Linked DNA regions of Tamandua tetradactyla. The protein of the gene in region 2 purifies or fractionates together with the protein of the main gene of each other region. This does not show direct contact. Links are inferred from orthologs where the notes say so. Each region holds a gene or a part of one and is shown on either strand. Other genes may lie near its edges.

Region 1 (3,746 bases), on a different chromosome or scaffold from region 2:
TCAACTGCTGGCCCCCTTTTACCATGCCAACCCCCCTGCATGGCCCCCACCCAAATGACAGCCTCAATAGTATCCCATGCCCATGCGCTCACTCGCCTGCACAGGAGGCACGCCGTTGTTGCTCTGCCGGAACTCACCCTCGTCGCCTGCGCTAATCTCCTCGTAATCGTCCAGCATCCGCACTCGCATCCCCGGCGTCAACGTCTGCTGCACGTACTCACCATAGCCACTGCGGCTTGAGAATTCACAGCGCGGGCGAAAAGCCCGCCCTTGCCTTCCGGGGGTGCTGATGATGGTGGGGAGTAAAAGGCTGGGGCCCGAAACGCAGGGCTGAAAGATGGATCGGGCCGGCCGGGGAGGCGAAGCGCCCTGTTCACTGAAGTTCCGGGCCCAGCCCATGTTCCGCACCAGCTCTGAGATGAGGTTGCCCACAGCCAGACAGAATTCCAGCTTCCGCTGAGCACGGCTTTTCTCCCGGATGAACTCCTCCCTCGCGGGGGAGTGGGAGCCTCCGTCTCCAGCCCCTGGCTCTGGATTATTATTCAGCTGATCCAGGAGGGAAGTGACACACAGGTAGCGCTTCACCAGGGAGAAGAGTAGCTTTCCTGGTATCTGTAGGATATAATCCTTGGCCTAGGTTCATCTCCCAGCTTTAGCTCCTCCCCTTTCCTCTCAATGTCATCCTCTACAGAAAAAAATAAAGGTCTCATCCCTAAGCCTGTAGTTCTCAAACGCTGGTTTGTGTAAGAAACAAAAAGGGAATGTCTTAAAAATACAGATTCCTGAATTTTAATCTCAGAGATCCTAAGAAAATCTGGGGTAGAGAGGGGTACATAAACCTTTACTTTAACAAGCTTCTAAGTAGTTCTGGTGCTGAGGTACAGTCCTGAACCACCTTTCAGATGCCCTAGGCCTTGTACAGAGCTGGGGTACCTGAGGCAGATGAATGCCCTCAAAGGCCATGCAGTGTTCTTCAGACGATGTGGTCTCTGCAAACAGCTCCAGCAAAGTATAGCGGCTGTCAAAATCCATGTGCTGCTCAATGCCATCTTGCTGGCTCAGCGACAGAAGGACATGAGCCCGACTCCCTGTAATCCACACCCAAACCATATCTTCTCTTCAAGCCCCAATACCTCCCCCCCTGCTTTTTCTAGTCTCTACTGCCTACCCTAGAGGGCTTCAAACTTATTTGAGACTGAGAACCACAGTAAGAAGCACATTTCACATTGTAACCCCAGTACAAGCAAGTGTACATACAAATGAAATACACATTTCATGCTACAGAGCTTATCCTTATTAAGTGCTGTTCTCTGATATTTTACGTTTCTTTTAAAATCCACTAAATTGATTTCACAACCAATAAATCTCAACTCACAATTTAAAAAATGCAAATTTACCCCATTCTCTTTTTTGCCATTGCACTGGAAAAGGACAGATAAAACCAGGTGCTATCACTTCATCCTGTTTATATAGTACCTGCAATAGCCTATTAATTTATACTTTTCCTTTGCATTGAATTGATATTCGCCAAATACTAGGTTCTCTTACAGAGTTGGGGAAGCTCTTCTCTTTCTGTTCTTACTCCCTGTAGCCCATTCTCTCCAATGTTCTCCTTCCCCCGGCTGACTCTTACCAGCATCATGGGCTGCCAGAGCCTGCAGCATCTTGCCTGCACTCCGACGGATCTGAGGCTCAGGGTTGCACAACATCTTCATGAGCAGGTCCAGAGCTCCCGTTTCCCTGAAGACCCCAGTGAGGGGCCCAATGCTGGCATAGGCACTGAGCACATGGATGGTGTGGAGCACAGCGGCAGTGAGGCTAGAGGTCCCACCCTCTGCCAGTTGCCTGGCAGCCCTGCATACCAGTGCCCGTACATCAGCCTCCATCTCTCCCACTGCCACTTCATCCAGGCCTCCTGGATCCCTGGGAAAACTTCCTGAAACCCCAGCAGGCTCATGCTGAGGTCCCTTAGATAGCACTCTTTCGCCTAACAGCATGGGGCAGTTGGCGTAGACCTCAGGGGCTGACAACCACATGAAGATGTGCTCTGCCTTGCCTTCGGAGTCCACACCCACTCTGCCAATTTCTTCACACCTCAGGACAGTCCATCGGATGAGGTATTCAGGACACCCATCATGTCCAGGCCGCTGTCGAAGGAGTTCTTCAGGATATGCCTGCAGCTGGGACCCCAAGGGCACCATGATGTCCCCGGCACGCCATGTCCCCACCATCCTGACCTCCTGAGACACATAATGAGAAATATAAAAGCAGTATAGGAAAGGGATAAGAGTACCTGGAGGGGCAAGAGTCTAGAGACATGGAGGGGGGTAATTGGTAGGCTGCAGGTAGAATTCAGAGGCCAAAAAAAAGGGCCAGATATAGGATGGGATAAATAGTTGAACACACTCTGGGACTTAATTATAGGAGAAGGAGAATGGAGTAAGGACAGCAAAAAGGACAGCAAGAGGATATCCTGCATTTCTTAAAGAAACGGAAATTACAAGAGAATAAGAAGAGTAAAAGACAAGGTAACAGAAGAGTGACAGTTAAGCAGGACAGTCTAAGCAGAAGAGCAGGGTGGCTAAGGGATACAGATCAGGACTAAAAGGATGGCATGAGTGAGCAGGAAGGACAGCAGCATGTGAGACAGTGGGGCCAGAACACGTAAGGAAAGTTGATATAGAGGAGGGGCAGGACAAGTAATATAAATGAAGAGGCAAATGTGGAATGTGGAATATAAAGCAGTAGGCCTCGGGAGATTCAGAAAATGGAGATGGAAAGAAGGCTGGGATGTGGGAGCAGATGGCTGGATGGGGAGAGTATATGAGTATTGTGAGGGTGGGGAAAATGGACCTAGGAATCACATAAAAGTATGGGAGAAAAGGACCAGGTCCCAGTTCATACTTACGCTGTATCTAAGTCAAAGGGTGGTAACCATGGGATTGAGACAGTAGGGGATGACTCCAAGAGATGGTGGGGTATTATTACAGATTTCGCTCAGAAGAATGCCCTTTGAACTCTAGCTTTTTTGCTTTCCATCTACAAAGCCTTAGACAAGTTATTTAACCTCTGAGCCTGTTTCCATGTCTGCTAGATGGTGATAATATGTATACCTACCTCTTGAAGTTGACTTAAAGATTTAATAAGATCTCATATGTAAAACACTTAAAACAGTGACCAGCAAGTAGTGAGCACTCAGTAAACAACCTAATATTATTATTGTTAGAGGGGAAGGTAGGGGCAGTCATCAGATAAACTGAGAGAGGTGATAAGCCAGAAGATTCTAGGAGAGTAGGTGATGCTAGTGATAGGGATGAGATATGAGTGAAATGAAGCAGGTGTAGGGGTAACAGAGAATGGTGAGAATGAGAGGGGAAAGTAAACCCAGGCAGAGAAAAGGCAATTTAGGCAGGAGTCATGTGGGAGTATAGAACAGAAGATAAGAGTAGAAGACAGGAGTGAAGGGGAGGGGGAAACAAGGGTGTGGGGCAAGGTTCCAGTTAGCACCGGGAACCAGTTTGAACGGGGAACTCTGATGTGATGGGCTCCTGATTAGAGAAGGTTGGAGAAGTAAAACAATGGGATAGGCCTCAACTGGGACGAAAGGGGGTGGGGAACACACCCGTAGGGTGGGCCTAGAGTAGGACCAACAAATTGATGTGAGCTGCAAGGACGCGGGGATGAAGCCAGCAGGTAGACGCAGGCAACAAGGTCAAGCCCAAGCTTACAGACAGTGGGGGCGGGGA
Region 2 (3,746 bases):
ACGGCGATCCCAGATAGGTCAGCGTAACTATAGCGCAGGGAGCTCAACCGTGACAAGAAACGAGGGAGAAGGGCCCTATGTTTAGATGAAATGGTGAATGTGTACTCAAGTGAGTACACATTGAGTGTGTACTCAAGTGGGGAATGTGTACTCAAGTGAGTTCACTGAAATCGTGGACCTTAAGCAGAGGCCATCGAGAACCATCTAGCATTACAAAGCAGGCTGGAGATGATTATCACCCAGGCTTCTGACCCTCCTCCACCTATTTCTGGCGGGGGGGGGGGGGGCAGCGGAGGGGGGTGAAGCGCGGAAGGAAAATGCCAGCTCACTCTGGCCTTGAGGAGAAGGCTCAGGCATTTCTTCCCTCCTCTTCGAATCCCTGAGCCTTTTCCGAATTGAAATCAGGAAACCAAACGGTGCTTGGGCCGGGGTTTGCCCATCCTCAGGCCTCCCAAGGTGGCTGCACCTCCGGCCTAGCTCGGACGCGGGTCAGGATCTACCAAAGGGCAGTGTGGGGAGCCGAAGACGGCGAGCGGTCCACCGGCACAGGGAGCGGAGGCTGGGCAGAGCCTGGGCCGCACGTCGCGGCCAAGGGAGAGGAAGAAGCCGCCGCCCCAGCAGAGGGAGCGTGGAAGCCCGCAGAAGGCGACTAGCGCGGGTCTCCTCCAAGGTTTCCTCCGGCTCGCTCACAGCGCCTCGGCCCCGCCCGGCCCCGCCCCAGCCGCCCAGGCCACCGCCTCCTCCCTAGCCGACGCAAGGGGGAACCTGCTCCAGCGCCTTTAAGAGGCGTGTTCACGTGCTCCGCCCCATCTGCCCCTCGCGCGCCAGTCAGTGGTGGGGTGCGGGAGGAGGTGCTTGGGGGAGGGGAGGATGGGGGCGGGCGGCGCTGCGCAGGCGCAGTGGCCAGGCGACGGAGCGTGAGTTTCCAAAATGGCGGCAGCGATGGACGTGGATACCCCGAGCGGCACTAACAGCGGCGCGGGCAAGAAACGCTTTGAAGTGAAAAAGGTTGGGTCTCGCCAGCTGCTTCCTCAAGGAAGCTAGACAGGCGCGGACTTGGCTGGCAGGCCCGAGGGTGACCGAGGCGCGAAGAAAAGGGCTTCATTTCAGGGCGTTCCTGGGACCGGGTACCCCCGAAAGGAAGCCGGAGGGTGGGTCTTAGGGTTGATCGGCGTGTCTGCGACCCACTGTCAGTGAAACTATTGGTTTCGCTCTTAGGCTGAGGGTCCAATCACTGAGGTGTTTATTGAACTACTCCGGCTTGCGACTTGGTCGCGGGAGCCAAGCGCCTGAGCTGTCACTGGAGTGGTTGAGGGGTGGGGGAAGTAGAGAGTGGGGTGGGTGGATGGGGGAGTCGGAGCTACTGCAGTGAGTGGAGGATGGGACAGTGCGGCGAAAGCCGAGAACCTGAGGTCCTACCGCAATGGAGGTTTCTGTAGAGCTGGGCTTACGATCTCCTTACCCCGCCCCTTTTTGAAGCTTTGCGGTCCCACTGACTGAGGGATCCCGACGTTGTCCTCGCCTAAGCAAGGCCTCTCTGCCCCATCTCTGGCCTTCACCCCCACCAAGTTAGAGTCTCATTTCTTATGCTTGGCTCTTTTGATTTGTTACGCATCCGTCTCAGTCTTGTGGTTCTCCGTCATGTCCAGAAGCCACCCCCTATTCCCCCCAAAAGCATATGAAGCCCAAACCTCGTAGCGTTTAGGAAGGGTTGAGTACGAGTTGCGAATGGCCTGTTAGAAGTGGGAAAGCAAAAATGTTGAACGTGTCTTTGCATGAAATCCCTTTTAGTGGTTTGCCAACAGCTTGGGAGAAAAGTGTGGATTTCCACCTAAGATGAAATAAATCTATTCAAAATGAGGATTTTCAAATAAGGAAGCTGTTATTCCTGGAATATCTGGCTAAACACTAAAAATATTCTCCTAGTGCTTTTTTGCGTCTCGTTATGGGCACTTCATGCCCAGTTACAGCCAGCAGCCATATTGAAGATAGTAGTAGACTTTTTTCCTCCAAATTGAAGCTGTGGGGTAAAAAGTGCTGAAGAAGTTGCTAGACACTGAGATTTGGCTTGCAGGAGATGAGGGGGTGGGAGTGGTGCCAAATTAGTGGATGAAAAAGGCCTTGGGAGTATTTATAGTTGCAGAAGCAGAGGTTGAAATACTTAGATACTGGGTTTAGATAAATTCTTAGTGGAATTATCTCAGTCATATGTAGAAGTGGGCATATAAAACTTGAGAACATTTGTTTGAGAGTAGGAACTAAAAGTTCAGTGAATTCTAGAGTTTGTTATGGAGCGATGCTGTAAGAAATAAGTGGTAACATTGTTCTGTGTACTAATACTGTTGGTATTTACCCACTTCAATCCAAGATTACCCATTTTATGCTCCGGTCATCATCTTAGTTCATTCTCTTCCTAGCTTTCACCTCCCCACTCATGCTTCCAAAGCTGCCTTTAAGAGCAGAATTTATCTATGCAGACTGATCTCTTGTGCATCTGCCTGGGGAACCTGCACAGTGATGCAAGTTTGTGCTTATTAAGACTAAAACAAGCCCTTAAAAATTATTCCTGATTGCTGACATTGAAGTGGCTGACTAAATATTTTTAGGTCTGGGAAAAAATTAAATTAAAAGATGATACATTAATTTCATGTGCTTAACATTTTGGAGAATGGACGAGATTGTATGTAGCCTATTGTTGTCCTCTGGTGTAATAAGAGTAGTGTAATATCCAGAAACTCTTGTTTGGTGGTCCATGTGGCCAAAGAAGATGTTAACTCCAGCTGCAGTACGAAATTCTAATGTGTGTGTAATATGTTACAAGGGAAGTGCATTGTTCCCCCTTTTCTCTCTTTGCAGTGGAATGCGGTAGCCCTCTGGGCCTGGGACATTGTGGTTGATAACTGTGCCATCTGCAGGAACCACATTATGGATCTTTGTAAGTAATTGGAGGAGCATGGGAGCAAGTTGAGAAGGTTGCAAGGATTGTTGCTATCCTGATGTGATCAGTTTTCTTCTTCAGGAAAGATATAAAACATAGTGCTTGGGGTCTTCTGCACCTGGTCTCTTGGTGTGTTTGAAACAGAATAGTTTTTGGATTGTCTTGAAGACATACCCAGTTCTTAAAATAAATCAACTTGCTCTAAAGAGAGCAAGGCCACGTTTAGAATGAATTGTGGACACAGGGGCACTGTAGATTCTTTCTCTTTATATTTCCTATCTCCTACCCAGACTCAAAGGCAGAAGTAGTAAAAGGAAGAAAATAAACTTTGAACTAAAATATTCTGTCCAAGCTAGTTTTTGCTGGGTGAGATGTGTAAAGAAAAGAAGCTGAAGAAGTAAGGATTTGCAACTTTAGCCCCATACCTAGTAAAAAAGACATCACTACCAACATCTAAATAGGCAATTAAATTCACTAAAGAAATTTGATTTAAATCTCTATATATTTATTACATAAGGTGATCAAAACATAGTGAATCTGATTGTAGCTGTTAACTGACTAATTTAGTATCCTTGTAGTAATGGGAGGGAGAAGATTGATTACACTGAAACAATTGAGGTTACTTTTTCATCCACATACTAAATTGGTTTGCTAATGAAATCAGAAATCAGGCAAAGAAACTTCAAGGTTCTAGAATTGAAATTGTGTTTTGTTTTGTTTTGGCATAGGCAGGGTCGGGGAATTGAAACCAGGTCTCCCACATGGCAGGCAAGAAAAGGGTACTTACTTTTGAGATGGTTCACCTGCC
Region 3 (3,746 bases), on a different chromosome or scaffold from region 2:
GTGGTTTGATTCCCAGTCTCATTTGGAATCAAATGCAGGGTAACTTAAGTAGGCTCTTATTTAACTTGGCTCTTGGGATTTGGGTTCAAGGGCAGGAGTGTCAGGTGTTATTTCTGCAGAATGTCTCCACTTCTCCCTCTTTTCTGCAGCTTTTAAAACAAAAGCAAAAACCAGGCCCTTGGTTTTACCAAGTTAGAAGTTTCCTTGGTCAACAGTTTGCATATGGTGCTGGTAGCACTGGCAGAAACCCCAAGTTTCCAAATCTGCTTGCAATACTCCTGCTTCTATTCCTCCATAGAGGAATAGTAATGGAAAAGACTTCCATTACTGCTGCTTCCAGAGGAAGTAGGGGGTGCGAGGTCCAGTGACAGAACTGTGGAATTCGCTTCCTTTCATCATTGCTGCTGCTTTTATCGCATGCTTACACTATTCACCAGGACAGATTCAGGACAGATTTCTGAAGATTTTGGTTCTTTTATATTACTTCTTTTCCTAGAGAATGACCTTTTTAACTTTATGAATTATTACTTGAATTGACCTTCCAGAATAACATCTGTAGGAAAAGCTGCATAACAGTAATAACATTTATTTCAGAGAGGAAAGAGACTTTCAGCCACATGTGAAACGCAGGCCAAAATTACTTGATGAGGGTAATGGACACTGAATGACAACCAAGACAAGGTCAAGAAGTTCTCCATAAGCAAGAATGATTTCTAACAGTGAGGCATTGCTAAATTCTCCTCTAGAAAAACAGTCAAAAATCTTTCTACGATCTCCGGAAGGATGGTTCCTTTCCAATACTCCTCCCCCTCACACCGCCCCCTCCCCGACGCAACATTCTCCTGGAGTATGGCTCTTTCCTCCTTACCTCCCCCCCCACCCCCCCAGCCATCCGTCTCCTCCTCGCCTCTCCCCAACTGCCCTCCCTGGCAATTCTGCAAAGACGCAGGGAGTAACTCTCTACTCTAGCCACACCACATTTCCTTTCATGGAGGAAAGGGGGTGCATTATAACTTTCCTCATAATGCATCGCAGTTTACAAAGCGCTTGCACTTCTATCATCTCCTCTGAGCTCTTTGGGTGCCAAGGGACGTAGGCATTCATTCATTCATTCACCAAATTTGCGGCTCTCCACCACACTTTATCTGGCTGTAAGTCTCACCCCACACCACGGGAAGGGTGGAGTGCTCGCTCCTCGAAGCAGATGCGGTGAATTAGGCGTCAACTTCTCGCTGGGTCGGGTTTGTTGAGGGCCCGTTTGGGGCCAAATGCCTCACCTTCGAGTGGTGCGCGCCGGAGCATGGCCACACGGCTGGGCCTCCTCCTTGCCCCCAAAGGAGCAGTCACGCTCTAGGGTCAGGGGTAAGATCAGGCCGTAGCTTAGGCTCAACTCGGCTCCTCCCCTTCCTCTCTTCTATTCTGACGCGATCGCAGAGGCGGCAGCGGCGGCGAGTCCCGCGGTCCCGGGCGCACCCACCCGCTCTCGGATCCTCGACTTCCTCTTCCCCTTGAGCGTCATCAAAGTGCGCCAGAGTTCCCCAGGTCGGGGTGGGTGGGAAGGGAAAAAAAAAGGCTAGCGGTGGAAGCTTCAAAGCAGAGGGGGGAGGAGAGCGGTTGCTAGGTGACTTGCGTCATCGCTGTGCGCCGGTTTCCTCCCGCCCCTCTCTGTGGAGTGAGGCGAGAGCCCCGCACAGAGCGAGCGAGATAGCGAGCAGCGCTCCGGGCGCTACAGCCACCGCCTCCGAGAGAGTGAGAGCGAGGGAGCATCCGAGAAACTCAGCTTCCGTGCACTGGCCGCCACCGAAACCTCCGCCCTAACCTGGGCCAGCGAGAGCCGCGGCCGCCCTTCCTCTCCCCCCCCCCCCCTCACCTTCCCGGCCGGCAGCAGCGGCTGCACACGCCGGAGCCGGAGCCGGAGCCCGCGGCTGGGGGGGCAGGGAGGCGGCTACCCTGGGTCGGGGCTGGGCAGCTACTCCGCGGTGAGAGGACGCTGAGGAGGGTCCGGAGCTTTCTGCCTCGTCCCGGGACGCGGGGCGAGGGACCCCCAAGGTGTAGGGAGGGGGTCCCAGTCGCAGCGACACATGCGGGAGCCGGGAGCGGGGGCGGCGCCGAGCGGAGCCGGCCAGGTCCCCCACCTCGCCGCCGCCTCGGCCGTCCACCCGGGGCCGTAGCATCTCGCCCTGGAATATATGAGCCGGGGCTCCAAGCTCAGCAGCCACCCCCCAATCGGGGGGGCGGGGGCCCCGATGTGAAGAGGCGGCCCGGGTGGCGGGGAGAGCAGGACCCGCGCAGAGGTTCCCTTCCTTACCTTCCCCCTCCCCCACCCCCTTCGGGGGTCTTCTCCTTTGGCCAGTCGCCAGCCCCCCGGCTCCTCCGTAGGGCTCCGGGAGGAGTTCTCAGTGCCCCCTCCCCCGCCCCAGCCCGAGGGCGGCGGGGCTGGGGGGGATCCGGGGGGCCGGCCGCAGCCTCCGCCCAGAGAAAACTTTTTATAAAAATAAAATCCCAAGTCCCCCCAACGTGACTGTCCCGGGTGAAGTGGCCCTGGAAGGGCTGGAGCCACAGCCTGAAGAGACCCAGGAAGAGGAAAAAGGAGGCAAGAGGGGCCGCCACCCCTTTTCCACCGGCGGCACGGAAGAGACCCGGGTGGCCACCTGGCTTAGCGACACTAGCACCGCTTCTTCCTCGGTAACGCACCGGAGCTTTTCGCGGCCGCCGCCTCAGTCGGAAGGAGGAAGGGACCCAACCCACCTTCTCAGCTCCACCGTCATTACTCTTCGCTCCTAAAGTGTGAGTGGCCCCGGGAAAGAAAGTTGGGATTAGAAAGTGGGAGGATGCCGGTGCTTCTTCTTGGAGTTTTGCTCATGTTTCCCAGGAGTATTGGGAGTGTATAGGTGAGACAGTACCTTTATTCTTCACCGAGGGGGGAAGGTATTAGGTAGTCCAGTATTTTGTTTTAGTGCTTTGTGTGTATTATGCAAGCGTACAAGTTTCTCTTAGAGGAATTTTGCCTTACTCCAGAGTGGGTACTTAACGCCTTTTGGGCCTGCAATTGGCAAAAGAAAAGGTAGCCAGAGCATATGTGCACATAAAGGACATCTCTAATCTTCTTTTTTCCTGGTACACCTAGTGTGAAACAGCGCTGTAGTTGTTTCTGGGGAACTCTCATATATAGATGCCCAAGTAACCACCTACTTACTTACTTTTTGAATTGAAAGTAAAATTCCTTTCATTTTTTGCAGTCTTCCTTGAAAATTTTCTGTTTTGCTACCTATTAATACAGGATTTTTTTTTTTAAACTTTCTAAATTTCCTTGGTTCAGTTCCTGTCTGTCAGGAGGACACTAACAGATTTCAGTCAACCAGGAAATTCTGGATTTTTATGAATCACAACTTACTAGGGGTCTCCAGAGCATTTAGTGCTTTAACCAGTTTATAAAAATTGTTACATTTTTTTCCTTCACGCATTTTTTTTCCTTTCTTGAGAAGCATGTCTAAATTATTGCACTTTTTATTGGGCAGTTTAGCTTGAGGCTTTGATTATTTGAGTTATCGTCACTTCTCTGTTAATTTATGAGAAAGTTTCCATATTTAATTCTTTTCCAGAAATATTTTTCCTTTCATTTTAAAGTTGAAGTTTATAAGAACTTTCAGGGATACTTTCAGAAAGCCAAATTAGAGGTGCAGGAAAGTAATTTACATTTCGTATGTTTATGCACCCCTTAAGGGTTAAATAGACATTTTATTGAA

Evidence for each region.
Region 1: the proteins of RBX1 (region 2) and CUL9 purify together in Homo sapiens (affinity purification with mass spectrometry; 5 studies listed by BioGRID and IntAct, with this or other methods). This does not show direct contact. The link is inferred for Tamandua tetradactyla from reciprocal best matches to the Homo sapiens genes RBX1 and CUL9.
Region 3: the proteins of RBX1 (region 2) and FBXW7 purify together in Homo sapiens (affinity purification with western blotting; 8 studies listed by BioGRID and IntAct, with this or other methods). This does not show direct contact. The link is inferred for Tamandua tetradactyla from reciprocal best matches to the Homo sapiens genes RBX1 and FBXW7.

Annotation. Positions count from the first base shown.
Region 1 is NC_135331.1:100,758,489-100,762,234, reverse strand, and holds the start of CUL9 (cullin-9), read right to left. Parts: upstream 2,261-3,746; 5' UTR 2,232-2,260; coding exon 1,634-2,231; intron 1,089-1,633; coding exon 934-1,088; intron 613-933; coding exon 97-612; intron 1-96. UniProt on the Homo sapiens protein: Core component of a Cul9-RING ubiquitin-protein ligase complex composed of CUL9 and RBX1. The CUL9-RBX1 complex mediates ubiquitination and subsequent degradation of BIRC5 and is required to maintain microtubule dynamics and genome integrity.
Region 2 is NC_135333.1:34,063,722-34,067,467, forward strand, and holds the start of RBX1 (E3 ubiquitin-protein ligase RBX1), read left to right. Parts: upstream 1-874; 5' UTR 875-930; coding exon 931-1,008; intron 1,009-2,856; coding exon 2,857-2,935; intron 2,936-3,746. UniProt on the Homo sapiens protein: E3 ubiquitin ligase component of multiple cullin-RING-based E3 ubiquitin-protein ligase (CRLs) complexes which mediate the ubiquitination and subsequent proteasomal degradation of target proteins, including proteins involved in cell cycle progression, signal transduction, transcription and transcription-coupled nucleotide excision repair.
Region 3 is NC_135348.1:14,758,030-14,761,775, forward strand, and holds the start of FBXW7 (F-box/WD repeat-containing protein 7), read left to right. Parts: upstream 1-1,584; 5' UTR 1,585-2,787; intron 2,788-3,746. UniProt on the Homo sapiens protein: Substrate recognition component of a SCF (SKP1-CUL1-F-box protein) E3 ubiquitin-protein ligase complex which mediates the ubiquitination and subsequent proteasomal degradation of target proteins.